4 linked regions of the Arabidopsis thaliana genome follow. The protein of the gene in region 3 interacts with the protein of the main gene of each other region in a pairwise test. Each region holds a gene or a part of one and is shown on either strand. Other genes may lie near its edges. The genes, in order: HBI1, AT3G23690, AT4G30410 and PRE5.

What was found.
Region 1: the proteins of AT4G30410 (region 3) and HBI1 interact in binary tests that used the Arabidopsis thaliana proteins (3 or more experiments, as listed by UniProt).
Region 2: the proteins of AT4G30410 (region 3) and AT3G23690 interact in binary tests that used the Arabidopsis thaliana proteins (3 or more experiments, as listed by UniProt).
Region 4: the proteins of AT4G30410 (region 3) and PRE5 interact in binary tests that used the Arabidopsis thaliana proteins (3 or more experiments, as listed by UniProt).

Annotation. Positions count from the first base shown.
Region 1 is NC_003071.7:7,951,168-7,959,434, forward strand, and holds HBI1 (basic helix-loop-helix (bHLH) DNA-binding superfamily protein), read right to left. Parts: upstream 3,573-8,267; 5' UTR 3,280-3,572; coding exon 2,896-3,279; intron 2,818-2,895; coding exon 2,599-2,817; intron 2,521-2,598; coding exon 2,386-2,520; intron 2,297-2,385; coding exon 2,225-2,296; intron 2,150-2,224; coding exon 2,015-2,149; intron 1,924-2,014; coding exon 1,869-1,923; coding exon of another isoform or gene 1,855-1,868; exon of another isoform or gene 1,474-1,854; coding exon 1,379-1,473; 3' UTR 1,237-1,378; downstream 1-1,236. Other genes in the region: AT2G18320 (F-box associated ubiquitination effector family protein), read left to right, coding at 5,053-5,142, 5,461-5,496, 6,170-6,364. UniProt on the Arabidopsis thaliana protein: Atypical bHLH transcription factor that acts as a positive regulator of cell elongation downstream of multiple external and endogenous signals by direct binding to the promoters and activation of the two expansin genes EXPA1 and EXPA8, encoding cell wall loosening enzymes.
Region 2 is NC_003074.8:8,525,896-8,534,590, forward strand, and holds AT3G23690 (basic helix-loop-helix (bHLH) DNA-binding superfamily protein), read right to left. Parts: upstream 5,464-8,695; 5' UTR 4,761-5,463; coding exon 4,341-4,760; intron 4,176-4,340; coding exon 3,975-4,175; intron 3,875-3,974; coding exon 3,740-3,874; intron 3,657-3,739; coding exon 3,585-3,656; intron 3,502-3,584; coding exon 3,349-3,501; intron 3,258-3,348; coding exon 3,161-3,257; intron 3,076-3,160; coding exon 3,038-3,075; 3' UTR 2,714-3,037; downstream 1-2,713. Other genes in the region: AT3G23680 (F-box associated ubiquitination effector family protein), read right to left, coding at 471-1,065, 1,166-1,278; AT3G23685 (F-box associated ubiquitination effector family protein), read left to right, coding at 1,344-2,087, 2,174-2,422; AT3G23700 (Nucleic acid-binding proteins superfamily), read right to left, coding at 5,794-5,877, 5,961-6,011, 6,096-6,174, 6,462-6,565, 6,646-6,727, 6,809-6,929, 7,021-7,180, 7,253-7,314 and 1 more; Tic22-III (Tic22-like family protein), read left to right, coding at 8,166-8,695.
Region 3 is NC_003075.7:14,868,636-14,875,924, forward strand, and holds AT4G30410 (sequence-specific DNA binding transcription factor), read right to left. Parts: upstream 3,633-7,289; 5' UTR 3,217-3,632; coding exon 2,674-3,216; 3' UTR 2,349-2,673; downstream 1-2,348. UniProt on the Arabidopsis thaliana protein: Functions redundandly with IBH1/BHLH158 in a regulation node known as the incoherent feed-forward loop (FFL).
Region 4 is NC_003074.8:10,853,328-10,860,552, forward strand, and holds PRE5 (basic helix-loop-helix (bHLH) DNA-binding family protein), read right to left. Parts: upstream 3,461-7,225; 5' UTR 2,987-3,460; coding exon 2,861-2,986; intron 2,607-2,860; coding exon 2,454-2,606; 3' UTR 2,296-2,453; downstream 1-2,295. UniProt on the Arabidopsis thaliana protein: Atypical and probable non DNA-binding bHLH transcription factor that integrates multiple signaling pathways to regulate cell elongation and plant development. May have a regulatory role in various aspects of gibberellin-dependent growth and development.

The sequences.
Region 1 (8,267 bases), on a different chromosome or scaffold from region 3:
AAATAATATAGAAGAGATTTTCAACTACTTCAAAAATGAAGGAAGATAAAATTCAATGGAACCGAAAGAACAAAAGAAGGTCCACTTTGGTTAAAAATCTCTGCAACCACAATGATGCCCACTCTTTGTGGTTCAGATTCTTCATTCTTCGATCCTCTCAAATCTCTTAACTACTCCTACCTTCAAAAAACTACTTCCAATTTCATTTTTGGTTATGGATAATATCTTATCATATAGATCTTGTCAAAATCAGACAGTTCATGAATAGATCATTGGTTGGAAAAATTGATATGAGAAAAGAACATTGACCCACTTGGTAGCTTGAAAGCTACTTTTAGAAAACATATTGTGATAAATATATAGAGAGCTTGTGTCAGCATCAGTAACATTATACATATCACTATAGTAGCATAGTGTAGTAGATTTTGTAGTGCATTGATAAAGTTGGAAAAGAAAATAATAAGCTAGAAACTTAAGGGATCTTTGGTTTCTTCATATAGATGCACGAATGTTGTTGGCTTTGTAAAATTATATATGTAGGTGCATCCGAATGCAAAATTAGATATATTTTGAATGTAATGAAAACTAGAGTTTGAATGCAATCGTAGCATCAACAAGACAACAATGATCAAACGTCTAAAATATCATTCTTTGAATTAAAAATGAAACAAATTTAAAACAACGTCCGATTTTATATATGTTCACCAATTTCATAAAGAATTCATGAATTTGCCATCACTCGAGAATCCAATTTTCTTATTTGTTATAAAAATGTTTACTAGTGTAGTTTTTAAATTAACAAAAATTTATTTGACACTAACTAATATCCAAAAAAAAAATAGAAATAGAAGAATCCTACTCGATGATGTTTTATTTGACAAAATTTTATTTGACACATACTTCACATTTGATGATGTTTGCTTTTTACAAGAATCCTACTCGAATATATGGTTAATCTTTAGCAAGAAAATAGAAGAATAAATGAATAACCTCTCCCGAATCTGTGAATAGTCGATGAGCTGTTTCCAAACGAAATTTTTTTCTTTTCTTTTCATCTAAATGTGCATTGAGAGTCATCATTCGGATTCAACATCCAAATTCAACGCCATGATGTTGGTTATGAATTTTTAAAGAATACAATGCAATCTTGTATCAAAATAACTAAAGACAACATCTGTTTAAGCTATTAGTTTTTTTTCTTATGATCGATTTAATTTTACATAAATTAAATAGCTAGAAAATAATTTGTATTCAATGAATAAAATTTTATGTGAAGATAAAATCGACATTGATTAATTGGCTGCCTAGATACCGTTTACTTTGATCATCAAAAGTATTCTTCCACCGATTTATAAAAAATCATGGCGACCTAATAACTCTATACCCATACCCTTCGAATGGGAACATATTGATGGGTACATTTCGTTGACAATAGAATCTTAGATATTTTATTGTAATTACCACAAGAGTTTTCTTAGATATTCGTTGCAGAAAAAAAAAACAGGAAAACGATTTATAATTTTCTTAGATATTTATATATCCAAAAAAACAAACAAGAATTGTAATTACCACAAGAGTTTTCTCTCTTTCTTCTACAAATATGATATATATCTATAACTCCTCTAAAACATATTTATCTATCTCTCTATATAATCTATACACAAAGATTGATGGTGACAAGATCATTGGATTGCTATCTCCAGTTCTTCTGGTTTAAATATCAGAAAACAAGGATCAAAGGATAATGCATTAACCAAATTTCGAAATTACTACTTTGATGAGCAAATGTAATAGAATTTGCTTCTGATTTTGATGATTGATTGATGTCAACCATGTTGTTTCAATGAATCTTGCTTAGTAATGAAAACCGAGGCTAGATGTGTTGTAGAGACTCTGTGATTGAGTTTCCCAGCTTCCAGATGGCTGAAATAGAGAGATACAGAGACAGGTTACTTCACTGACAAGGAACAAAAACTCTGACAAGTTTTTCAGTTTCATATAAAGCTGTACTTACAGCTTCGATAGATGTCGTTTGGTTCGGGTTTATCGCAGACAAATCTAGAGATCCTTGCTGGTCTAACGGAAACAATGGCACATCAACCATTATTGATTGCTTTGAAGCAACTACATTTGTAAAGTAAGCCTGAAACTGAAAATTTCATAACCCTTAAGTTTGTTGAGCAATATCAATATGACTTTGAGGGTCTAGACAATGTGTTTTCACCTGTTTTACGGATACATCTTCCACGGCAAGCTCTAGTTCCGGGTTCAAGACAGCAAGTTTCATCGACAGGAACTGCAAAGTATGGCTCTTTAAGAATTAGACTTATTCTCTTTGGTTAATAGTGAAGTTAAGTTACAGAGAATCATGGTTTCATTGCTTACCTCGACTTGTCTTTGGAGACATTGAACATAATTGATGATCTCATCAAGCATACCAGCTTTTCCTGTGACCTTATTGCATCCAGGCACAATATCTTGCAGATATTTCATTTTCTTGCTGATCTTTTCTCTTCTCGCCTGCAAATCCAAATCCATTCAGAAACCCTAGATATATCATGATTCTTGTATCACAAGAAACTTATTTATTTTTATTACCCTTTCTGCTAAGCTGTGTCTGTCAGTGGCTTGGCCTCGACGAGCTCTCACGTGGATATAATCTAATTTCTGATTCTCTGAAGCTCCTTTCGATGTCTCCTTTGAAGTGTCTGAAGATGCTTCAGTGTTTCCCATGTTTGATTTTCCTTTCATGCTTGACTCTGTCTCAGCCTCTACTTTGATCTTCTTCTCTGTCTTTTGCTCTTCCCTTGTCTTAACCTAAGACATTATTAATAAAAAATATCAAAAACCATGTCTCAAAACAAAGTTTTTATCCAAAATTTTGATCTTACAAACCTCTGGTTTTCTCTTGTTCTTCAAGGCAACGGCTCTGGTTTCTTCACCGGTCTTCAACAAAACCTCCATTGTATCCACAGGTTCCATATGGCAGCTACTTGTTCTTGAAATGGATTCATGTGGAGGACCAAAACCCATGTTATAGTTTGGTCCAAAACCAGATCCAAGCATTTGAAATTGGCTGAAACTACTCTCCAACAACTCATCATTGTTGCTTCCATGGAACTGAAGTATCTGAAGAAGTTCAGGTGAATTATTACTGCTATGGGACACAACTTGTTGCAGTTGCTGTTGTTGCTGTTGTACCCATTTAAGCCTTTCAAGTACAGACATGTCCATAGAGTTTAAGGACAAGCTTTCTTGAGAGACAAGACCTTCCAACATATTGTTCTCTGCAGAAATCTTTCAACTTATGATCTTTTAAAGTGAGACCAAAAGTACAAAACAAAATAGAGAATGGGAAAAAATGCAAAAAAGCTCTGAGTTATTTGGTGGGTTTAAAGCAAAAGAGGATTTGCTATAAATGTATGAAGAAGTAGAGATTTAGGTTATGTAATATTGTTTTTGGGTGGTTGCTTAAAAAAGATGAAAGAGTTGGGAGAAACTAATCCATTGAAATCATTCTTCTTAGCTTTAAATAGAAAACAACATTGACCCACACACATAAGGTCCCCTACTTCTTATGTTTTTATTTTATTTTCCTTTATAAATGTAGAAATTTCATTTACTTATTTGTTATCTCTTACCTCTCTAGAAATAAATACTCTCTTACCAATTCAAAATGGTACCACACGTTTTTTATACGCCACAACTTTTTTATACGTATCCCTTAAAAAATATATAGCAATAACAATAGTTTTCTATTTTACGTAGATGTTCAACATAACATTTGTATCGGATTTGAGACCGATCTTTTATGATAAGTTTACGAAAATGGTCGTACTGTAGCTATGTGATAGTCACAAATGACAGTGAGATAGATTAAACGTTAGCGTTGGTGGATAAATCGGGTCCATCGTTTAGAGACACTTGACTATGACTAGGAGAAAAAAGAGGCTCAAGAACAAATTGCGGAAAATAGTAGTAAAGATTCGGTATCTAAGAGAGAGAGGGACATAAATTGATAAAAGAAAAGGTTGGGAGCAAAGAAGGTGAGAGGAGAAGGTGTAGGGTCTAAGTGACATAACCCACACCATGTGGGCATGTCCTTATGAACACTAAATTTAGAGGTTCTTTATCCCTTCTTTGTGTGTGTTATGTTTTCTTTTTTTTCTTCTTCTTTTTTGCCCTTTCAAGTTTATGAGAGGAGCTTTACAAGGAAAAAATAAACAATGAGTGAGACCTTAACATATATTGACATTTGGAATAGTCAAATTAATTGAATTCAATCCAAACTAAAATTCAGAAAATTGATTGTTTCTATAAAACTTACTTACAAAGTAAAACCCAAACAAACTACATTGAATCCATGTAACAAAACTTATATTAAAAAAAGTTTGACCGCAAAATTTGCATCATGACATTATTGACATGTAGTCTAATAGTTTGTATTTTGTGTTGTAAATTGTAATTGTATCAGTACAAAAAAAAAAAAAACTGAAAAGAAGAAAACATCGCTAGAGAGAGGGGTCGAACCTCTGACCTTGTGGTTAACAGCCACACGCTCTAACCAACTGAGCTACTCCAGCTTATTGATAACAATAATATATAACTAACTATATTCAGTTAGTTTGAAATAAAGACACAAGACAAGATCATGCAAAAGATCTTGTCATCTTGGGTTTTCCATAAAAGAATCAAACGAAAATCCATGAGTAGATAGATAATACAGCAAGACAACAAAGAACAGTATACCACCAACCATTGAATATTTTAGAAATTAATCTATAACATGACATGTTAATAATTAAAAGCGACATCAAAATATATTTAAAATATATAAAGAAAACAATGGGTTTGAAGATAAGTGATTGGAAGGTAGGAGACCATTGCTTTTGATCAGAGTGTTTGATCATATTCTTCTGTCTACTAGAGTGTGGGCTTCCAACCTAAAACCAATTGGCAATAGGTGGAGAGACCCATATCTTATATATACCACTTAAGATCCTACTTAACTTCCGATGTGGGACATTGTCCCTAATACGCCCCCTCGAGATGATGGCTCTTCTAGCCATTGATCTCGATATGTTTGGGCATGGATCGGCGGGCCAAGTATTGGGCCGGACCGATGTGGATCGGGTTGAGTATGTGCGGATCGGGCTCTGATACCATATTAGAGTGTGGGCTTCCAACCTAAAACCAATTGGCAATAGGTGGAGAGGCCGCTATCTTATATATACCACTTAAGATCCTACTTAACTTCCGATGTGGAACATTGTCCCTAATAGTGTCCTTCTCCATTCACTGTTGTAATACTATTAAAGTTATAAGTTTACCCACTTCCAAATTTCAATCACATTCATAAGAACTGCAAAACGAGCGATTTTTTTTTTTTTTTGGATTTAAGTTCTTATAAGTTTTCCATTGTGAAAAAGTTAGCTAGTTATGTTAATATTATACATGTAGCAATATAGCACAAAGTCATTACTTTCAATCTACATAGTTGGACCAAATTGAATCAACTTTATAACATTGGCTGCATTAATGATTTTTTTCCTAAAAAATACAAGTCATGATATAATTCTTAAGGTTTCTCACATCTAAGATGTATCTGTCTAACAATATTAAGTTGTTTCTTTTTGATAAAAAGTTTTCTAATTTGTTTACTGATAATATCAAACAGAACCGTTGTAATAACAATATCGATGCCAGTAACAAAAGCTTATATGTTTTTTTGTTATGTGTAACAGTCTGATACACAAATAGATTACTTTTTTTTCAGTGTTTTCACGTCCAATTCGGACCCTCCAGTTCGACCGGTTAACCCACAATCCAAACACTTCTCTGGTTTGGGTTAAGTATTAATAACCGGAAATACTTACTATTGGACTCAAGAAAGAATGAAAGGGTGTGATCCATTTCAAACCCCATATTTCTTAATATGTTTTGATTTTACAGCAGAGAGATTTGGACAGGTTCTTCCTCTGCCATTTCAGCATCATGAGGATGATAACAATAATGAAACTCTATCTTGCGTTAAAGAAGAGAAACTCTCGGTGTTATATCAATCCCTGTGATAGAGATTTGGATTATAACTAAGATTGAGCCCTAAGTGGTGTTGTGGACCCCCTTCTTAAAAGTTGATATAGAACCACTCACTGTTCTTGATTTTCAGTTTTATGAAGAGACTTGCGGTTTCTTCATTGATGAAGAGAAGAAAGTCTTCGTGGTTTTTGAGTTAGATGAATCTCAAGCCTACAAATATGCTTACATCATTGGAGAGAATATATGCTTGAAAAAATTGGATCTTGGAGAAGTTAGAACATTTTCTTGCCCAATTGTGTGCTCCAGCTCTTATGTTCCAAGCTAAGTTTAGTGAAAATCAAGGAAGAGGAAGAGCAAAATTAGGAAAGAGAAGAAGTGAAAGCGAACCAAGTTAACAACAAGGTCTAACACTACACTATTAGTCAAAAAGGAAACAACAAGAGTTACAATTTATTAATAACTTATAACTCTTCTTTGAATTAGAAAGAAAGAAAATAAAAAAAGCTCAACTTTCATTCGTTTTTTTTTCCTTTTCTTTTGCAATGTCCTTTAAACAAGACTAATATAATATTAATTTTGGTCATAAGTAGTATTTTGAAAACTCTTGTATTATTTTCTTTTGAGCTTGAGTTGGAGACAAGGTGATATGTTCGAATTTTGAAATGAAAGCAATCGGCATGATGAACAGATTCAAAGTTCTAGTACTCATAGTAATACCTCAAAGTGTAGCATCCAATGTTGGGCCTTATATCCAATGCAAACATATGAAGTCAATGTTGCGCTTACATTAATTTTCAAAGTAGAGGAAGTAACTGTCGACTACAAACAAGCTTCGATGTTGGGCCTTACATCCAATGCAAACATATGAAGTCAAGCCTAGTGTAATCAACAGTGCGTGTGAAACAAATGTAACAAAATAATAATAAATGGTCACAAGTTCCTTCTATGACGACATTGTATTGCATGTCATATATCCAATATTCCAAGTGACCAAGTCGAAATCCAGTTTTATTTATTTGGACAATCCTTCTTTCATTCATAATTTCCCAACTTCAACGAGGACTAAAAAATTAAATTGTATTAATAAATATATAGAATTGAAACACTATAGTCTATAAATATATATAAACACTATACTACAAACCTCAATATCAACATTTACTTATTTTTAATCAAAAAAATAGGCACCAAATAAAATACCCTTCTATCCGGACGAATCCTTGTGCTTCTGATTCGATTACGAGACAAATTGAATTAGTTTATATCTTAAAATAAAAAGTATTCAAAAGCTTAGAATAATTATGATCTGGACCAGATATGGTAAATAACTAATGCAAATTCCTTTGCAAGAAAAAGTTGAAGAACTTATTGTTGCCACACTCCCACAACTAGTTTCATAGCGCCACCACCAGTAAACATGCATGTGTTTGATTCCTAAGGGGTTTTTAAGTCGACATTAAAAAGGCTAAATTGTTCAAATAGTTATCTTACAGATTGTTTTCTCATGATGGCTAAGCCAATGCTCTATGAAATTTAACTAAAAATTATATATTAAATTTTGCTGTCGAAAATTCGATAACCAAAAATCTACATAAAACTCTTGGATATATGCTATCTACTAAAAACAAAAAAAACCATGAAGATAACATTATGCGGGTTTGAATTTTGGATGATGATACAATGAACATACCAATCTGAACCACTAGATTTAAATGTTTTGATCAATAAATTGTACAATTAAAATGAAGTTTTTAACAAAGTTATTACTTTATATATATTTTAAAATTTTAATTCTTATTTTATGAAAAAGTGAATAAAATTCGTTTTTTTCGTTTCTTTAAAAGGTGAAATCATAGTAACCACTGTTTCTAAACAATTTTCATTATCTTCAAATTAAAAGATTCATTTTTTTTTATTATTTTTGTTAACCGAGGACTATCCAAAGTCTTACTATATAATCTTCCAAAATCTATAAAAATTTCAGGTCAGTGAAAACGTTTACGGATGGTCATAGATAGTTGAAATTGGGAAAACTCGAACCCTGACAAATAATATTAAATTTGAAAAAAAAAAAATCAAGATTCCATATAATTAAATGTTTTATAATTTACGTGGGCATGTGAGTACGAGGGAGCATCTTAACAACATCGACTGTGGAACTTTTCAAAGGGATCATGTAAAGTTGGAATCTGATCAAATAAAATAAGAAAACCTTACTTTAGCAGCGA
Region 2 (8,695 bases), on a different chromosome or scaffold from region 3:
TCCTCGCTTTACAGTTCATTCGTATGAAAATACTATAGACGAACTAGAGAATACGCATGATCCAATCATCGAATCACGGGATCTGAAGAAAGGACTTAAAGAGTAGAGTTTTGCTTAGAAAAAAGCCAAGACCAATACAAGCTAAGACTAAGGTCCCTTTATTTTTCCTTTCATTGTTCTGTTTCCTAGATTCTTCAAATATGTGACTACTTCTACAATCCATTCTATATTGAACTTCTGAATCCCTTAAGTGATCGCAGCCAATATATCATTTGTTGTACATATAAGAAACAGAAATAGATTTCTTTGTTACTATGTTTTGTCATTAAACATCTTAGCAAATCTTCTTCAAATTTTATGATAGTAGAGTAATCTTGTTCAAAGAAAAGAATAAGTAAATGAAAGACATTACATAAGGAATTATAAATTGGAGTCTTAATCATCTTGTTATCTCCTCATGCATGTTGCTCTCATGGATTCGTTTCAAGTAAGACAAGTCTCGACATGTTTTCATCATATCGAAGCTTCTCCAATTCGCTTTCTTCTTCCCTTTCCCCTCCTTCAGGTTGCTTGATTTGCACTAAACTTGGAACATAAGAGCACAGATCTGTCTTACATCTTTGGTCTCCATAATCTCCAACGAGATCCAATGCCCTCAAGTATCCAGCCTCTCCAATGATGTTAATTGTGTGGCGATTCCCATCTTCAAAACCAATGGCGACTTTCTTCTCCTCGTCAATGAAGAAACTTCCATTTATAATAGGAACATAACTATCAAATCCAGCTGTTTCCACTCTCAAGAACTTGCTCCACAACACCTCTCCAGTCTCAATCTTGGTCGTAATCGATAAGTCAAGCTCATATGGATTTGATTCATCGTGCTGAAGTAAAACCGCAAGCTTCTCTTCTCTAACACAAGATAACGTCATACAGTCAATATGCCCACCACTAAACGGCAGAGGCAGAAGAGGACCAAATCTCTCACTTGTAAAATCAAAACAGATTAAGCGATTAGCAAAGACTTCATTTACATCTACGTTCCTTTTTGCAGCACACCAGTACGTGCTTCCCTTAAGAGAACGCCACTGTTACAAAACGCTATACGCAATGTGGAGTGACATCAAGAGTAGTCCACAAATCAGAGTCAAAATCGTAGATTTCATACCAAAAGAATTGCTTCTCGTGTGCATTGTAGTAATAATCTATCAACCTCAACAACTTGTAGTTACGACAAGAATCCGTATTCACGTATCCAAGAGCGTAAGAGAACCTGCACATATTCACGTATACGATTAACTTGCAAAAAGTGGAACGATTTATCCAAAAGTCAGAGCTTTATGAAGATGCACATTGGTCAAGCCGCAGCAAAGGAAGGTGAGTCTCAGATGATCGTGATGATGGGTAACAATCTTTCTTTAACGAGTATTATTCTCAATGGAGATCCATCTATAGAGCATAAAGGAAAACTTCCTTGCCTTGACGAACAAGTCAAGATATCTCAGTTCTATCACTGCGAGGGCTTACTGCTATGCATTTTAAAAGATGATTCTAGGTTTGTGGTTTGTAATCCGTATTTGGAGCAAACAAGGTGGATCGAACCAAGATATTCCCATCGTCCACACGGATGGGATAGGTTCTCTTACGCTCTTGGATACGTGAATACGGATTCTTGTTGTTACTACAAGTTGTTGGGGTTGATAGATTATTACTACAATGCACACGAGAAGCAATTCTTTTGGTATGGAATCTACGATTTTGACTCTGATTTATGGACTACTCTTGATGTCACTCCGCATTGGCGTATAGCGTTTTGTAACCGTGGCGTTTCTCTTAAGGGAAGCACGTACTGGTGTGCTGCAGAAAGGAACGTAGATGTCGATGAAGTCTTGGCCGATCGCTTAATCTGTTTTGATTTTACAAGTGAGAGATTTGGTCCGCTTCTGCCTCTGCCGTTTAGTGGTGGGCATATTGACTGTATGACGTTATCTTGTGTTAGAGAAGAGAAGCTTGCGGTTTTACTTCAGCACGATGAATCAAATCCATATGAGCTTGACTTATGGATTACGACCAAGATTGAGACTGGAGAGGTTTTGTGGAGCAAGTTCTTGAGAGTGGCAACAGCTGGATTTAATAGTTATGTTCCTTTATAAGTGAAAGTTTCTTCATTGACGAGGAGAAGAAAGTCGCCTTTGGTTTTGATGGACGTAACCGCGAGAGAGTTATTGTCATTGGAGAGGCTGGATACTTGAGGGGATTGGATCTCGTTGGAGATTTTGGAGACCAAGAATGTAGGACTGATCTGTGCTCTTATGTTCCAAGTTTAGTACAAATCAAGCAACCTGAAGGAGGGGAATCGAAACAACAAAGCGATTTAGAAAAGTGTCGATATGATGAAAACATGTTGAGGCTTGTCTCACTCTAAGCGACAAATCAATGAGCTTTGATAGGAGGAAGGAAAAAGGAGCCAACGAGATGATATTACTCTATTATTACGCAGAAACAGAGCTTTTATTTCAAGTCTTGAGTTAATGAAACTGAAGATTAAGATCATGTTCATGGTTCATTCTTATCTTTCTTCATCGATAATGAGCTAGTCGCTCAATCTTTTTCTTCTGGAACTTAGCTTAGTGTACCTTAAAATGCAATATTAGAGTCTCATGAAGTCAATTGGGAACGTATACGAATCGAAAGAGAGAACTTCTGTAATCAACCACTCGTACTCTCAATCTTGTTTCGTAAGAAAATGTGAAAAGAATATAAAGAAGTGAACAAATTTATTCCTGTTTCTTACAAGCTTAGAGCAATCATAATACATAACGATTGTAAAACAGTACAGAGAAAAGTTCTTGTCATATTTTTACATACTTAATCTGAAGTTTTCTTGTTTTTTTTTTGTTTAAGGTTGAGAAGAAATCAACAGAGACACAAGCAAAGAAGCAACGATTGTAAACATTAAAATTCCAATATGATTCACTCCGTTACTCATCACTACTTGGTTTTCTGTATGTACAACAGAGATAATAATCATAGCTATGGACTATGGTTCAAGCTTCATCTGAAGCGTTGGCTCAGAACCTGCAACATAAAGATACGAGACTTTAACAACATAAGAGATAGTTCTATAATTTCGATAGACGAATTTGCTTCTAATTTTTCTTACAGTTGTTGTTGTTGTTGTTGCTCTGTTGCTGGAGGATATCTCCAAAACCCATCTGAACAATGCTTTGCAGGTCATTATTTTCCCAGAATCCTGGTGTCTATAATGAATCAAAAACATAAAAGGATCGAGTTTACGATACGCACAAACGAGTTTTTCTAGAATCTGACGTTAGCTACTACTAAAACTACCTCAGTGTGAACAAATCCATCGTTTGAGGGGAATTGTGTGTCTGAGAATCTTGGCATGTTCTTGCCAAGTGAATAGTATGCTGATGGAAGTCTTTGCTCTGAGCAAGCCATTGCGTAAAGAGACTGCGTTAACGACTCCCCCGGTTGAATCATCTACACATACAAATACACACATTATAGATACAAAACATTCCATAATCTGACCATTCCATTATAGATACAAAGCAGAATCTTACCTCTGTGGATAAAGAAGCATTAGCATTAAACTCCATCCTTGGATTTACGGTAGCCAGCTTCATGGACAAGAACTAAAGAAACAAACCACGAGTTTTAGATTCAAGATATACAAACTCCAACTTTCAAGAACATTTATGAAATACACAATTCATACCTCAACTTGTCTCTGCAAGGACTGCACATAATTTATAATTTCATCAAGCATGACTGCTTTCCCTGTAATCCGGTTGCAACCAGGAACCAGATCCTGAAGCAACGTCATTCTCTCACTAATCTTTTCTCTTCTTGCCTGAAACCAAAACACAGCCAAAAAAAACATCAACATCATAAACATCAAAACAGCCCCTAATCAACAAAAAAACAGATCAGTTTTAGAAGGTGTGTAGTACTCTTTCAGCAAGACTATGGCTATCAGTTGCTTGACCCCTTCTAGCTCTGACATGAATATAATCTTTAGGCGCCTCAGGAGGCTTAGCATCGTCCTTATTGTCGCCTTTACTATCGCACTTCTCTACTCCGTTTTTACTACTCCCAGCTACATCTTGCTTGCTTCTCTTCCCACCTTTAGATCCACCATTCTCTCCTGAAACCTAATCATATATCCAAAACCAAACACAACTAAAAAACCTTGTACACACACTAAAAGGTCTATAGATAAAAAGTCTCCACAAAACACAAACTTTCTTACACATATGGCTACAGTTTCCTAAAGTATACATTTTTGAAATAGAGCAAGAGAGATAATGAATCAAAACCTTTGAATTGGAAGCTGTAAGAGACGATGAAGCTGGAGACTCCTTGCCATTACCACTAGGAATCGACTTCCTCTTTCTAGAGTTAGATTTCGTGGTGTGAACTCGATCCGAAACTGAATCTGGATCCAACAAAGAGCTCTTGTTACTCTCCTGCGTTGTTGGTTGTGACCCAAATTCACGATCGGATCCAAATTGACCTGGATATGGAGGGAATCTGATTCCACCAGAGATTGGGAAATTCTCGGAGATCTGAGAATTCAGAGAGAAGGATTGTAGAGTTAACGGTGAAATCTCCTGAGGGTTGTTGCAGTATCTTCCAAGGAAATCTCCAATTGTTCCTTCATTGCCATTGCCAAAGGGATCGCTCTGACCCAAAGGTAAGTAATTTAGGGTTTGCTCTGTTTCCTTGTCCATGTTCATCTAAAAAGACTAGAACTTTTATGAACAAAAAAGTGAAAAATTCAATTCCAACAACTTCTCTGGGAATTCTGAAGAAAACCCAGAATCTGAATCAGAAAGCAAGATTGAAATTGAGTGAAAACAACCAAATTTGAGAAGTAAAAAGACAAACTTTATGTGTGTTTCTTCAAAAACAAAACAAGTGATGATTTTTTAACTTCAATGTAAGCAAAAAAAGAGCTTCTTTCAATTATGGGTTTAGTGGAGAAGAAGATCTAATGAGGGAAATGAGTCAGGAAGAGAGAACTAGAAATGAAGAAGCATGATTGATCAATTAGGGGAAAGAGGAAAGAGAAGAAGAAGGCGGTGACTTTTTTTACTGATCAAAGGAAGAAGAAGAAGAAGGTTTAAGAGAAAATGACAAAATAAAAAAGAGAAAGTAATGATAAGAAAGATTAAGAAATTAAAAAAGAGTGAATTTTACAGTTCAAAAGGAGAAGAATCTTACGTGTGTTTTATGTTAATGTGGGAACATTAGATGGTGAAAGTGGGTAGGCTGCTTAGGCTGGCCTCTGTAATCATTGGAGTGAGAATAAGAGAGAAGAAAGAGAGAGAGAGAGAGAGCATGTGCATGGCAGAGACAGGAAAGTTGTGGGAGAGAAAACAAACAAAAGGATAAAATTGTTTTTAATTATCATGTTTGATTATTCTTGGTTAAGAGACTATTTTAAAAGATGATGGTACTTACCAAAACATGGTGTCAAAAAAGTCAATTATTGACTTGAGAAGGTTTTAGACTTGAATTTGATGTATTATGAGTTGTTTATGTTAATGAAGTTTATAATGTGTAACTAAAAACATTGAGTATACACATATATTTTCATAGGTTTGTGTTATGTGTGACATATAATGATGATACAAATGAATTTGCATTTTTGCCTTTTAAGAATATTTCTGAAGTAGTCTCTGCTCCACTTGAAGTTACATTGGCAAGAGTTTGAGATGCATAGAGCTGAATATAGTGGCTGAGTATCAAAAGTCTTTTTTCGGGTTCTTAGGGGACGCGTTCTAGTACATGCTGAAGCGCTTTCTTGATTCCTCCTTGTTCCAGAGACGTTGTCAAGTGTATCTCTTGCACCTGTAATGTTAATATTTTACTTAAAATCAAACCAAGAATCTCTCTATCTATGGCCATATAAATGGGTAGCTTCTGAGATTTACCTGTCTTCCAGCACGGGCAAGAAGAACAAACTTCCCATCAGAAGGCGGTGTCTGCGTGTGAACATGCGCATAGAATCAGAATTTTCACAGAGCAGAGTTTATTCTTACGGGAAAGTAAAGAGAAACAGAACTCACATTTGAGAGCCAAAGTTGTAGGTCTTGTGAAACCACTCTTTTCTCAAATCCTTGCCGGTTGATTTTCACAGCTTCTATTCTGCAATATAGAAATGAATATTAGTTACACACTGGAACCAAAATGTTATGCCTGAAACATAGATTCTATAAGTAATGCAATTAACAATATCCAACTCATCATGGGTTCAGAAAAAGTATCAGCCAGCAATAGCTATTGACATGTATATATTCAATCGCAAATCGAGGAGTGAACAAATCTAGTAGAGTAGAGGTGATCCTAGTCACTTATAATAAGCAGATATTATGCAAAGAGCTGACTAGGACTGCATAGTAAATTTAAATTATAAAATGATATTGTCTATATACCCATCTTCCTTTAAAAGCTCTTCAAGTATTGTTTCTAGCCCTGGAAGAGGTTCAATTGTATCCCCATTGTTCGAGCTTAGCGAAGGAGATCCAGTAGAACTGTCCTGTAACAATATTCAATTATCTATTAAAAATCACTAAGACCCACAAGAGACAGAAAACACATTCATTCACATTGTTTTACCTTCAAAATCACTTTGTCTAATGTTTCTAGAAGAGGATCATCTTCTAGTTGTTTGATGGATAGTGTAATCCTTGATTTCTCTCTGCATTGGAACAACTTTTGATTAAAAACTATATCATGAGTCATGGCTAATAAATTTCAGTAACCAAAATAAGCAACTCACTTGTCAATATTCGTGACTATAACCCGAACCTCGTCACCATCGCGTAGTACATCCCTAACATCTTGAACGTAATCCCATGATACTTCGGAGACATGCACTAGTCCAGTTAAATGATAAAGACCTATACACCACCACCCCACATAACTGACATCAATGTCATAAGCTCAAAACAAGAAAAAGAAACCAAGAAATTTAGGTAAAAGCAAATATACCATCATCAAAACGCAAGTGGATAAAGGCACCATAGTCCTCAACAGAACCTACTCTTCCGTTAAACACATCCCCAACATTAACGTTTTGTGAATACTTTGGCCATAATGCTAACTTCTCAGATAAAATCAACTTTCTATTTTCCTCATCAGCTTGAACAACCTAATATAAAGATTTACCTCAAATTATAAACAATATAGAGATCACAAAACAAGCCAAAGGAGAAAACTTTACCTTTACAGGAAGTTTAGAACCAACCAAAGTCTTAGCTATCTCATGAATACTTTTCTGAGGCTCTTCATAAAGCAAAACACAAACCATCGATCAATGTAAAAATCGATACTTTAAGGACATAAACATAGAACCTTGTGAAGAAGAGAGAGTTTTGGTTACCTTTACAAGAACGGGAAGGACTTAATTGTGGATAAGGAAGAAAACCCACAAGAGAATGAAAACGAATAAGTAAGCCACCACCATTAAAGCCTTGAACTTCACCTTCAAATGTATCACCACTTTTACAATAAGCTTTTGCTGTTTTCCAATCGCTTGGTCCTGCAGCTGAAGCTTCGTCGGAGGTATCACGGAGAAGAGAATTGGAAGCGGAGAGGACTGAGGAAGAGGCTGATTGATCGGAGTTTCTATCGGTATCTGCTGTGGCGGAGCTTGAGAAGGATTTGACTATGCAGACGAGAGAGTTTCTATTGGAAGAAGAAGAAGACGAGGAAGGAAGGAGTCTAAGTGGGCAAGAGAGGAAAGTGGATTGTTGGTCGAAGAGATGAGAGGCGAATGAAACAGAACCTAAAGTAGTAGCGCCACTAAAAACCGCCATTGTTGCGCGGTAGAGCAAAAAAGCCACGGAGATTGAAGGTAATGATGGTTAATGGATTTTGCCATTTTGGATAAGAAAGTGAGAGACTGGAGATGAAGGTGACGTGGCATTTGTCAGCTCACAGGTGCTATATTTTAAAACATATAGGATCAATTTGTAAACATTGGATAATTAGAGGGTTTCTTTACAAAAACAATTCTAATTCAAGCAAAGAGATCAAATCTTTTTCCTCAGTGTCGTCGTCTTCTTCGCAAAGCCTTTCAAAAACCCTTCACTACTCTTTCTCAGAGTCTCAAGCATCATTTTCCCGAGAAAACTATGAATTCAAACATTTTCCCACCATCGAAACAACAAAACGAGCTTAATAATATACAACAATCCTTCTCAAATCTCCAATCTCAATGCTCCAATTTACTCCTCAACGTTTCACAAACCCTTAATCCTCTCTTCAACGCCAACACGAACAACAACAAACCTAATATATTCTCTGCTCTCAATTCGTTTCGTGATCAAGCTAAGCAAGCTTTAGATTCTAGAATCTCTCGATTCAATTCTGGTAAGGCACCTGTCTGGGCGAGAATTTCTGACGACGGTGGTGGTGCGAGGGCTCAGGTGACGGTTCCGATTCGCGGAAGCGGGAAAGGATTATCTGCTGATGCTATTGAGGAGAGATTGGCGGGAGTTCCTGTTTACGCGTTGAGTAATTCGAATGAGGAGTTTGTGTTGGTTTCAGGGACTTCCTCTGGGAAATCTCTGGGTTTGTTGTTTTGTAAAGAGGAAGATGCAGAGACTCTTCTTAAAGAGATGAAGAGTATGGATCCTCGTATGAGGAAAGAAGGTTCAAAAGT
Region 3 (7,289 bases):
GCGTCTTGTATTATTTTTGACAAATCTTTTTCAGTTCTTGAATATTAGACCCAACAATTAAATTGTCGATTGAAGCTTTCCATCTAACAAGAAAACGACTCAATTAAATATCATGAATAAGTAAGTTCAAGGAATAAAATTGTCAAAGATTCAAAACCGCATGATTCTTGTTTGGTCATGTGAAAGCTAAAGATTGTTGAAGAAACCGTAAAAATGCTTAACCGGTGAGTAGTTATCGCAAATTTCTTCAGATAAATTAAAATCCTGAACTTGATGTTGTTAGGTTAAAGTTCAGACTAAAGTTGGCTATCAATACTACATATGTTTAGCGGAACTGTTAGTCATACAATTTGTTGTGTCTAATATGAATTTTCTTTTTAACAATAAGATAATGAATCATATAATTTGCAGTTGAGATACAAACCATTATTCTATGAATCTTTGTTTATATGTTTTTTTTCCTTAATTTCTGTTTTCTGGAGCATTAGATAAGAAGTAGGTGTGGTGGTAAGACAGTTGCATTGAATTGAGGCAATTCTTCTTACGACAAAAGAGTGACATCTTGATTCTTGTGCGATATGTTGTATACATGTATGTATGTATTTAAATGTTGAATGGCTAAAGTTTTGCATTAATGGGTGAATTAATAACGGGCATGGAAGCAGTTGGATTACATGCCCACTAGTCACTTAGTCTTTATTGCGTGACAACTTACATGTAATTTTATAACGTTAATAACATTGGTTTATGTGCAAAGTTAATTCATCCCAATTTTGCGACCAAAAGTTTATTCATCCCTATAGGAATAGGTCAAAAATCAAAGAAAATATACACTAAAAGATAATACGAAATTTTTACCACATAGGGTGTCTCTATCGGTTATAGTGGTATACAATTTTTTTGTGAAAGTGATTCTTGATTCTAGCTTGGACCATATGCTAGAATTATCGTATACTCAAAGCCGTTTATTTCTATGTATAAATGGTGCATTTGCATTATTGCATAAGAGTTTGGATTTTAAAATGAAAATAAACCTTTTTTGTAACACTCCTTTAATATGTATGAGAATATGACATGATTTCTTGTAAGCTATAACATTCAATTTCTGTTTGACTTTAAAATTCTTAGATAGTTCCCCAAATGATTTTTTTTGAAAAAGGGTTAAGTTCCACAAATAGTTTGAGACAACTTTCTCCTAAATCCTAATGTTTGACTAACCTTTAAAATTATAAGTCGCTTCTACTTAATAATTTCCTTGCTCCTCGACAATTCTACAGCCAAAAATAAAGTCACATAAGTCAAACTCACAATTTCTCAAGAGTCAAGACATTAATAAGGGAAGACTACATGTCGTTTTAAGATAAAATAAAGGGCAACGCCGTGTTGTCTCTCTTTCATTCACTTCTTGAGTTCTTTCCCTTTAGTTTGTGTGGACATTTGACTGGTTAACAAGAGTCCAACTGTTATTAAACAAACCATTTACGAGTCCAATTAATAACAAACTGGGCTGGGCCTAACAGAACATAAACAAGTTTCTCAAAATGTGTAATATTATATTGGTATTTTTTTTTCGTTTTTTTCCTTCTAATAATCTCCAAAGAAAATGTTGGCAAGTTAGCTGTTACAGAAAAACCATTGGGGTTGTTGTCAATAGAACTTGCAGTTTAGACCACATACAGAAAAAATCGAAAATACCCCTTTGTTACATGATCTAACATATAAAGTACGTGGCAAATAAGATTTTTTTTTTAATAAGAATTTGTTCAAACAAAAATGAATGCAGATCTAACTGAGAAGTGAGAATCATTAATCATATGTACATAGATGCACATATAAATGGATAAATACCATCGGTGGGAGGCATAGCTTTCATGAGACAAAATAATATATCTTTGAACGGTGTTAATTAATTTAGCTAGGAAAAAAATGAACGTGAATATGTACGTTTTTTTTTTCCTCGTTGCCATTAAGCGTCTTCTTCCTTAGCTGAATACTAAATGATGCTGATTGATGAAACATGGAGTATATACGAAAAAGACTGATTTTTACACGTGCTGTCTTATTGGTTGTTTTGTTCTAGTAGACTAGTACTATCCTTTCAAACCAAGTCTTTAACCCAAAAAAAAACATAAGCAAAGAGTCAAATATATATTGGACAACTCATATGAGCTAATTAACATTGAAAATCTGAAAAAAAAAAACAGAAAAAAAACTCACATGAGCTAGTATATATCATTTGTTTTGGGTTGACATGTCAAATGAGCTATCCAATACGAGTGAGTTGTAATAAAACTGAACCAGATATCTATAATATAAAATAACATTTGTCTATTTTTTTCTCTCAAATAAAAACATGCCAAGAAAAGCAATCGAAGCGTTAAAAATATCTTAAAATTCACTCACATTAACTAAATTAAATTCAAAAAAAATAAAAATTTGCCAAGAAATGTTCCAATAAAAACCACCATCACGTAGCAGAAACTTTCTATAAGCATTGTATAAATTTCCTTATGTACAAAATGGCTTACTATAATATCTCTCCATCCTCGTATGACAATTGCATTGTCCGAATAACATACGGTTCTAATGACCAACAACAAGATCCGATCGACATCATGCTTTCGCAACTAATCTCCGCAGATAAAAAAATAAAACAAGATTTTTTTTTATCATTTATCTCTCAATTTCGGCCTCGGCAGCATCAACAATACTTCTCATAACATTTACTTGCGTTTGAAGCGACACAATGTAATCTAACGTTTCTTGAAGCAACAAGACGTCATTGCTCATCAACTCACCACCAGGTACAACGTTTCTTAATCCTTGAGTCCGTCTCTTGACGAGTCTCTTAGCTTTTGCTGCAGCCTCTTCGCTCGCTGATTTCGATTTCCTCCTCAAGATCTTCTTGCTTCGCCTCACGATCTTCCTATGACACACAGTCTTCTTAGGCAACTTCTTGTTGATTAACGTTTCCGCTTTGATGCCGGAAAGCATCTGACGTACGAGGAAATTGTCCTCGGTGGCGGTTTTCTCGATTAGGGCTCGGCTCCAACAAGTTGTTCCTTTTCTTAGAGACGCCATTGCAACGTCTGCAGAGAGCTTTATTGCTTTTTTTCTCTCGTGGACGCTCGTGTTGTCTATCGAAGGACGGAATATTTGAAGACCCATTTGCCATTTCTTTAGGAATTCTTCATTCATTGAGCTCGTAGGCTGCATCCTAAATCCTAATCAAGTAGAAATATACTCAATTATGAGTCATTTTTCAAGAAAAAGTAAGTTAATCCTAAGTAATAAACCATGATGTCTTTATACATCAAAGGGATACATGTATGTAATATACTAATATACATCAAATCATAACCAAACTGGATTTTTTCCCCGTTTAGGGTTCCTTATTATAACCAGAAGAGACATGAACACATACCTTTTTAAGAATTTGTTTACTTCTAGTGTCGTCAAAGATTGCTAAGAACAAATCTGCGGTCACCTCACGAATTCGTGAATTCGACGAGAGAGAGGGAAAGAGACAGAGAGGTAAGGGAGAGAGAAAGGAGAAGGAAAGGGTCCATTTTAATTGTTTCAAAAGGAGAGGGAAAATGGTGGGGGCAATAGGAGATAGGAGAAGCACATGCATGCACATGCTACGAATGGCCCACGTACCCTTTTGTATTACCCTATAATTTAGGAAACTTTTGTCCATTATTATTTGTTTCCGCCGAAAATTTGTGATGATATATATACGTTTTGATGTTTTAAGTTTTGCAATTATGAGGATTTTATGAAAAAAAAAACATTTTTTGTGTATCTTTCGTTTGTTTTCTGTCAACTGCGTAGCTTCATTTGGTTTTTTTTTTCACACTCCGTGAATCCGTGATATATAATGATCTCATCACTCGTATATATATGTATGTAATGTATGTTCACATATTTGATTTAACATGTAATTCTCTATCTGACAACCTTATCAGTCAGCGCTGTCGCCAAGCAAATAAAGGCCTATATAAGCACGCTAAATAATCTAGATTATCTTTGAATTGGTGTCATTACTTAGTTAGAACATATATAATAACTAAAAAAGTCCATCTCAGTTTTGAAATTTAAATGTTAAAGAACGTAAAGTATAGATTAAAAAGTTGTGGTTCTCCAATGTTGTAGATTGAGTCATCAGTCTTCCATAAAAGTTTATAATCTATATATACTTACCGTGACCTGGATCACCTAAATCACCTAAGGTTATAAAAAGATAACAAATGATATAGAATGTATAGCTGAGAATAATGGCTGGTTCTGACGATTGTGAGTGCGTAATTTGTTAATGTAATATGTTCAGTTATTATCGAGCAATATTCAGTTTGATTATTGTCGAACAATGAGTGAATCTATTAATCATATTTACCATTATACGTCAATAATTTACATACAAAAAACAGAATTTGAGAAATTTATGATGCATTGCATTGCACAGTGCACACCTTGGTTATACGGTGCATTATTTCATCTTCTTTTTGATGCTTCACAGTGATACATTCACAACTAGGTATCAAATATGAAAAGCATGGTCAACACATTAACTGTGCCATAACTTTTTTTATACACATACAACAAATAACATCAATATGGTGTTAGTGGTTAAAACGTGGCGATCCGCAAACTTTGGGAAAGCCTGGTTTTGAAAAAGAAAAAAAGAAACAATAATAATTGTTGATAAAAAGGAAAAAGAAACAATAATAATTCATTTATATTGGTCAATTTAATTCAGAAAACGAAAAAATGATATTGATAGATGTACATGAATATAAAAGTTGATGTTCGATAAATATATACAACTATCGAAAGAGAAATATTTTTGATATTAAAATTAGCTTTTTTTCTCCAACAAAATACATCGAACATGGATCTTCTGGTGCGGGGATTTGTTTTCCAATGGACCTCCGTAATTTACGGGAATCTCAACAATCATTCTCCGAACTCTACACGCCCACCATCTCATTGTCGTCACCATCAGTCAAATTTTCTTTGATTAAAATGTTTTGTGCCCTTAATCACATTCTACGACGTCGTTAATGTGGCAACACTCTTGCATGCACGCGTCCACCGAAGCGCATGTGCACACGTGGAGGGACCCTTACCCATTGGTTCTTTTACTTTTACATTTTTTCACTCACCAAAGAGTGATTTTCAACGGTGACTCTCACAGTCTCTCTGATTGACGGCTGTGATATGTTTTAAAATCATTTACTATCATATAAGAAATTCAGATTTACTGACAGGTCGATTGTCCTAACAGTTGATAAACTTCCAAAAATTGAGGATTTATAGTACAATCAAATTGTTTCTAGTGTCTTGAATCAAAGAACACCAAATGGTCTTGATCTACAGAGAGATATCTCGTACTTTTTGAATTTGCAAAAGATATGTGAGATGACATTGCAGAACAATACATTGATGTTACTGTTGAGTGTTGACAGATGTAACTATAATATAAAAATAATGTTTGAGATCATTGGTGGCGTGGCTGATGGTTTCATCACTCATCATGGGGAATAAAACAGACGAGTTCACAAGATGCAATAGTGAGAGTCCATTGATGCAAAACAGAATTATATGTAAAACAAATAGTTTTATCAAAGTGTATATAAAATGTAACATATGATTCATACGAAGAGTACTAATCTAAGTAGAATAGTTATAGGAAATGGTAACTCTAGCTTATCCTCAATATATGTTTCAATTAATCAAGTATAATATTATTTTACCGATCAACTATTTTTTTCATTCAACTTTATCTGATATACTATTTACGAGCTCCATTCTTATCATAATCATATAACGCATGGTCTTAGATAAATGTATACTATAGTCTATGTGTAGGCCATGTGAAATAATTTGAAGTTAAAAAGGTAGAAGAACCGACGGAATGGTGAGTGGATTAGCTTCAGTTTCATGGTATCTACTGCTATCTACGAGTCTACGACCGATACAGCCTAAAAGTCAATTAAAGTAACTGTTTTTATTTTAATTGGATAATGTTTAGGGTATAATCTAAAATCAATAAACATAATCTCCTTTTAATGATATGTTTGTCTCCTTAAATCAAGGGTAGATTAGTGTCTTCTTCCGTACTCTTCCAAGGACAAAAGTAAAAAACTTAATTCAGACTTTACTACGAACCGATACTTTTTTAAGAATAAAATATGAAAATGCATAGTTGCGTACATAAGTCATCTATATGAAATTGTGAATTGAAACATATCATTATTTAAAATGGTAACAACCCGAACAATCAATGTGAAACATGCTAAAACAAGATTCATTAGTGCATAACATGGAGAGAGAAAAATGAATTGTGATTAATAATTGTGCTAGTTGCTAATTAATTAGTGACGTTGGAGGAGTGGGTGTTTTCACATGGGAAGTTTCTTTCGTTAAGTTCATATAGCTAAGACATTTAATACTACAAGAGGGAGACTTTATTTTGGACTGTCATTATATATATGCTCTAATTAAGTTCCTTAATGGAGCTATTCATAGTTACTTTAGAGGAAGCAGATGTTTTGATAGGGTGCCAATTGTGAATAATCAAAGTTTTACCCATCATTGTTTTACTCATTACTTCTTCATATTTTCTGATGATTCAGCCAGATCTGTCCAAGGCATCCTCATTGTCCTCTTTGAATTCAAACACATGGCTGATTTTTCCCTTTTGGTTTTCTGCATTTGAAATCAGGAGCTAGAAAAGAAGACTCTAATTAACATCTCTCATAATGTTGTTTAAGACTCCCTCTCTGCACCAAGAAATGATCAATGTGAAACGATGAAGTTCTAGCTAAATATCGTCTATTTTGACAAAGAGGAAGTGTGTTAATTGAAAATTATACAATGATATTAGTGTCGTTGATAATTGTTTTCACCAAATTTAACAAAAAACGAAGGTTGAGAAATATATTAATTGAACGGCCATTTGGGGTGAAGCATTACGATTGCATTAGAGTGTTATTTTAGTTCATCTTCTAGATCTGTAGTAGCAGATATTCTTATTAGATCGATAATATTAAATAAATACCTGCACTACAACTAATATAAATTGATCAAACAAATATACAATTAATTTAAAACAAGAAATTAGTGCTAACTCATGGACTCACTTGTCTGTACTAAGACCAAGTGTGGAAAGAGCTGTCATGTTTAAGATTATCAGATTTCTTGTACTAAGATCCAAAATTTTGATTTTAACCTCGAACATTAACAAAAAGAAGCTGTAGTTAATCAAATTTACATTAACAGAAAGA
Region 4 (7,225 bases), on a different chromosome or scaffold from region 3:
AAAGGCTTTTTATAATTAATCAAAATAAACCAGCAGAAAAAAAGATGAACAAAGTTAAGAAAAAACTTTAGATTCAGAAAAATCGTAATATTACATACATCTGCGGTTAGAATACATAGAATATTTATATACAAAAGAGTCGATGTCGTAGAAGATAAAAATGGAAAGTTTACAAAATCAGAACTGATCGGTTACAATGCGTCTTTTAGACTGATCAGTTTTGCGCTGTAATCAAAGCAATCAACCAATCAGTAGTTCAGTACAAAACATACATGATAACTGATTGGTACAATCCCATGACCGATCAGTTGGATAAGTTAGTTCGTCATAAGATTGCTGAATCTCCTGACATGATTTTTGAGGGTTATAAGGAGAGAATTATTGTGAGATCAAGAGCATCAAGATTCTTAGAACCATGTGTTACAAAGGCTTCCTTTACAAGGTATGTGGAAAAAGTTATTAAAGATGGAAAGATGGAGAAATTCTCTTGGAAAAGTTGATGAGTGTCCAATATGTTGTGCAAACTTAAAGGCATAACGCAAATGAGGGGAACATCTTTAGGGTCAATAATAATGTTGGTCAAATCCATTTTTCATGAATTTGTCTAGTTATCAATCAAGTTGTTCAGAAGAAGAGATGGGTTATAATTATAACCTTTGTTTAAAGCTGGCCACAAATATTTAGCAGGAATCCAGGGGTCATTCCATATTGAAATTGACTCTATAGAACCAACTTTTTTAATAAGTTCTTAACTAGAGGTCGAGCAGATAGAATACTCTCTCATCCATATAATCAAATTGGATCTAATTCGATCCATGGAATTTGATTTCCAAATATATCTTCCTTTAAAAACCTTAGAAAATAATAAATCAAAGATCACAATAATGCAGTATTAATGTCTTCCACAGTCTGAAAAGATATTCCATCTATCGATTTATTGCGACATAACTTATGCCTTGACATCAAGTGTATACTTTTTGATTTTCCATTTGAACTCCACCAAAATTTTGCTACCGCGCTGGTAAGTTTTGATGTGACCGAGTTTGATAAGTCTAAAACAAGACATCACATAAGTATGTAACGCAGCTTAATCATCACCTCTTTCTCACCTTTAGATAACAATTTTGATGACCATCAATTAATTCTATCATTTAAACGCTCTATGACAAAGGATAAATACTTATTCTTAGAGCCCCCTAAGTTTTCCAGTAGTCCCATATATGAACGTGAAAAATCTATAAAAAAAACGAACTTTTAAATTTGGAATGAAAAAACATGCATTTTCGAAATACCATTTAAATCACAAAGTTTTAGTTTGATTTATGATAAAATGATGAATTTTCGTTAACTTGACTATTTCGACAATGTCATTAAGTTTTCTTAACCAGACGATCACATAGTTAATTTTTCGTTAGAAGCCTATATAGACTTAGAACGACATAGTTTTGAAAGCTCGTAAATGACATCATTTCATTAGAAAATAGATGGAAAACCTACGAGAAAGCAAACTACTAACCTATTGGACTCATAAGAGACTCTCAATTGCTAAACTACGAAAATATCTTGGTATAATAGCAAATACTGCATACATATTTTGTTGGTGTAATAAGATTATTCTTTCCTAAATTATTAATGAAAACCTAAGACTTATGGAATACAGAAAATTAGTTATAAGACCTAAAATTTATATAATCCTTCTCATATATGAATCCTAAAATTTGTAGAATTCTTAATCCTATATTTATATGAGAATGATTGCATAAATTTTAGGTCTTATAACTAATTTTCTATATTCCATAAGTTGGCAGTCTGTTAAATCTCTGTAAACAATTTTTAGAAAATTATGAATCTTTCGTCAAAGCGAAAGGTCTTCATGGGACATTTCTAACATGTACACCAAAAAAAATCCAAAAAGATTAGTCGGGCATTCGTATACACACTCATGCTCATTAGCTTTCATAGATTAATTATCACCGTTAAATGTAGATACCTCTCATTACTTCGTCAACGTCATAGTCATTTATAGGAATGCAATAATTATGAGCCGGTGCTTACCCAACAAATACTATCCTCAATAATTTTATTAGAAACGGAAAAATGTATATCATTAATATTAGTTGATAACAAATTTCAAAATCGAAATATTTATCCAATTGTAACAAAAATAGTAACTGAAGGATTATTCATTATTTATTTCATTCGGCATTGTTTTTTATTTTTATATTTGACTAACACAATCAAGTTTAGACATCACAATGTCCATTATTTTTTAATAAATATCAGAAATTTAGGAGACTACTGACTAGAAATTAATGTAAATTTCTGTACCAAAATTCCAAAGTTCATAAAAGATAAAAGCACGTCGCTTGATATATAAAGGACGATAAAGATTACATATATAGATAAATTAATAAATACTATATTAAGAAGTTATAATAAAAAATATTGGAAGGTTACATGAGTAAGCTTCTAATCACGGCAGCTTCAGGGCTATCTTCATCAACAGAGTCAAGAAGCTGCGACAAACGATCACTGAGATTGTCAACTTCTCTATGCAATTTTCTTATGTAGTTGCATGTCTCTTGTAGTACCTTTGATGCTGACACCTATTTTGAACAAATAATAATGTTAGGATTCTACATTTTCAACAAACATCATCAAGAACATTAATATATATACACACATGTACGAACACCACATAAACAAGACTTTTTCGAAGTTCAAAAATGTTGTCAGGAGTCAAATGTTCCGACTTTTTTGGTTTCTTTTGTTTGATTTAAATGTAGACGAAAAGATCAGTTTTTTTTTTTTTTTTGTATATACATGAATGAGGTGAAATGAATGTATATATGTCGTATACCTTATCAGAACGACGCCGTTCGTGAATCTCCGGCAAAAACTGACGGAGCTTACTAACGAGGTCGATCATCTGGTCATCGGAGATCCTCGAAGCATTCGAAGTTTGTCTTGATCTTCTGTTAGACATTTTCTTGTTTTTACTTTGTGATTAGGTGTAACACTACAATGCCGCAAGAAAATAACCTTTATGTTGTATGCTTTCTCTCTTTTCTAGATTAGATAATAGAGAAGAGATTGAGAGAGAAGGGTTTGTTATTAAGAAGAGAGTTTTAAAAAAAAAAAAGTGAGAGAAGTTATGTAGAAGGTTTGTGTTTATTCTACAGGTTTTATATTTGTGTTGAAGAGGTGTGAAAGAAAGAAAAAGAAGAGCAACGAAAAGAGAAGAGAAGAGAAAATTGTAAGAAAGTGTTTCGGGTAATAGAGACACTTCGAGATATAAAGAAAATGAGAAAGTGATAAGAGAGATTTAAAGAGGTCAAGGACCACAAGGGAGAGAGGGAAGAGATCAATAAACCTAGACAATGATGTAATGGGAGAGAAAGAGATTTGAATCTTTGATAAAACCTCAAACAAAATTTGTTTAAATAAAATTATATTTTTCTTTATCTCATCTACATAGAGTAACATAGATTAGAAATGAATATTTATAATAAAAAGTACTCACTAATTTAAAGGAAAACTTATATAGCTTTATCATATATTATTAACTTTTAAAAACTATTTGTATGGATATAAATCAAAATTTATTTTGTAAAACTAGTAAAAGATTAATAATTGAAAGAATTGTATATAATATAGTTATGCTGAATAATGGACGAGGATTTTGGACATTTTAATGGAGAAATAGATGAAAAAGCTGAATGTTCCCAAAGCTGGTGTTGAAGTTGAAGTGGGATTTAAGAGAAGTGTTCCATGTTGAGCTAACAATGTGGCCCTTTATGTGCATGTCACTAAAAGGCAATACCATGTGATGACCTTGACTTTCTATTTTCATTTCATTACTATTTACGATATTATCCCACCTTGGATCCATAGAATTATAGAAAGATCTAGAATTGATCTAGGAAGTTTGTGGTTGATCCGAAATTGAACATAACTTTCCATTCAAGATTATAGACCTAACTTCCTGTCATGTATGATATGTCACAAGAACACATATGTAGTAATCCAAATCAATTTAGATGAACTGGTTTAGTTAAATTAGTGTGTTCACATGGCTTAAAACTTATTACACATAGCTTGTAGTAGCACAAATAATTTTGAATCAATGTGTTGATATTCCTTATTGAATCTATATAGACCGCAAAAAAAAAGGAAAAAAAAATAAAGCAGCGTGGACTTTGATTCGGTCTTGCAATGGATTACCCAAAAAAAGTAGTCATGATAAGTTCGTCTGCTTCCTAATTTAACTCCTATGTTTCGGAAGCTTGAGAGATTTAGTATACTTGATGTTTAATGGCATATATCATATATGTCCCATATGGTTGCTTCAGATCTCAGATTATGCCTCCTTAGATTCTAAATCATGATTACCACGGGGACACAAGGTACTTAATTATGTCCTTTATTTGTGTGCATTGTTTGCATAACATACAAAAGTGTCAGTAAATTAGGAAAAGTCTACTAATTAATTGGTATTAAATCTAATCAACTGAACCATGTTTTCTCCTCCAACTTCCAAGCTAATAGGAAAATATATACCAGGACTTATAATTAAAAATCTAAACTTAATTAAGGAGAAGTTCTGTAATTATTAATACCTAATTTTTTTTTATGATTTAGAAACTTAAAACAAAATTTACATGTAGAGCAATAGATGGAGGCGAACATATTAATAGCTTATTTTCTACAATACACATACATCGGATTTGAATCCAAATTGTGATAAGAGAAAAAGATATAAATCAAAATGTTCATACTAATTATTTCGTTTTTATTTATTTCTCGTCCTTTATGGGGACATCTAAGTATGTGATTGTTACAGCTTTGTTTGCCTTAGCTTCGCATCACATTAATTAAATTTGTAATATGGTTGTTTTATCCTCTATTTGAATGAAATGCTTTTAGTGTTAAACACATTTCAATTAGCTAAACATAAACAAATAGTTATAGACTAATTGTACTGTTTTATTGATCACTGAACCCGGGAAATTTACATTTTGGTGACTAGAATATTGAAATACATTGAAGGTAATGAGTAAAATAAATTTAGTTATTACAAAATATGCTAAACAAGTAGTGCAAAGTGAACAGAGTAATGGTAACCATAATAATTAATAAGATTAAATACAATTAACAAAAAATGTATAAAATTTTGAGTGACCGTAACGTAAGCACGCATGTCTTTTGTTGTTTTGTTGTAATGAAGACAAATAAGACGTCTCAATTGAAGGCGTATAGCTAGGTTGAGAAAAGTACTCGACATATATACAATTGTCCATTAAACGTTATCTACATAATTATATTGTTAAACCATTCGTAATTATCAAGAACAATACTACATAGCATAAATGATACGTATTCATCATCATATTCGTTTCGTTTGCATATATAGATTATTGGTATTGTCTTTGTTTTTTTGCAAATTAGGAACTTTGCCTATGTGTTTTCTATTTCTGATCTTAGTTTTTGATTTTTTGATAGTCAAGTCTTTAGTCTATCTGCAATGTGAGTTTAAACTCATAATTTTACAAACGAAAGAAATATATTTCAACAAAATTAGTCATGTTTAAATTTGTCGTATTACTATAAGTTCTATCAAGAGAAAAGCCATGTAAAATTACGGTCTTTTATCCGCGCATTTTCAAAATTAAGATTAGCTCCGAATAGTTATTCTACACACAATGGAGCAGACAATGCGTACCAAAAATTATACCATGCATTTATAACGATATTGACGACAACATGAATTATTCACCATAAATATACATTAAAACGATGTGTATCCAACGTAGACATTAAAAGTCAAGAGCCCTTGTTTGAGAAGGTTCGTTCTCATATTCGGAAAGAAGCTAATCACTATGTTTTGGCTCTGTTTTTACCTTAAAACTCGGATTTGTTATGACAGATTTTTGCCATTATAACTTTTGGATTTGGTTTACGCAGCCATACTTGTGTTGACTCCACTTTTTTCTTGTTAATAAAAGTTTGCATTTTCAGTGAAAAATAGAAGAAGGAAAAAAATCAAGTATCTAACCAAAACTCCCTCTAATATTCTTAAGAAAAACAATGCACATTATAAGTATACATTATATATTACTGTAAATTAATAGCTAAGGGAGATGTAACATGTTAGTCCATGTGGGTTTCACGTACTGAATGTTAGGCCTCTTAGGCTCCACGATGTTTTTATGTCCAACGATCCCTTTTGATTTTTCCTATCAATTTTGGTCCATTCAAACATAATGTAACAAAATAAGATTATTCAAATTTAAGTTATTGATAAAATAATGAGAAAAGCAGCCTTATGCAATAATGCAATAATTGAATTTTCCGATATAACTATATACATGTTTTAATTTCTTTTTGTTTGAATAGTTGTAATTTTCGTGGTTAGGTTTACGCTGCGGAATCAACGTAGTTTAAGCAATACGATTTTACGAAAAATGCGTAATAATATACTATTATTCAGCATGCTATAATAGTGATTTCAACGAGTCATAATACGTCTTGACCTTTTTATAAGTAGAATACTGTATAAAAATATGCTTTTTTTCCTTGTTGAAGAAATAAAAATATGTATGCGTTGCAAACAAAAAAAGTTTGTTTTAAAGAAAGGGAAAATTATGCCCCGACAAATTACTTAATGATGTTTAAGCACACTTCATCTACCTTTGCTTTGCGCTCAACAAAATACTGATTGATCAATTTACCAATTAATAATTGTTATAACTCCTACACTATCTTCCTTTTACCAACGTCGAATGTAAAACATTTTATGATATAATTAAAAGGGGGAGAGTATACCGTAAATGTATGTTGCAGTTTGGTCTCGGCATTGGGATATTCATGTTGGATTCTCATTTTCGGATAAAAGAGTTTAAGAGCCAATAGAGTAAATATAGAAAATTGGTTCAGTTTCGGTTTCGCTTCGGTTCTAATTCATGGTGGTTGAGTTAAGATTTTTAGAACTAGTAACCATCCACTAAAATTGATTGGGTCTTGTTAGAATATTTTTTATATGATTATATCGGATACTCATTCGAAAGATTGTCCCTTATGAATCTAATAGGTTAGATGTTCGATTATATGTGGACGCGAGTTTTGCATCATTAGTTTCTAATGAAACCACGTCGTTTTGGAGCTTTAAAAACGACGTCATTTCGATTTATTAGACATTTCTAACAGAAGGTTGACATCGTTAATT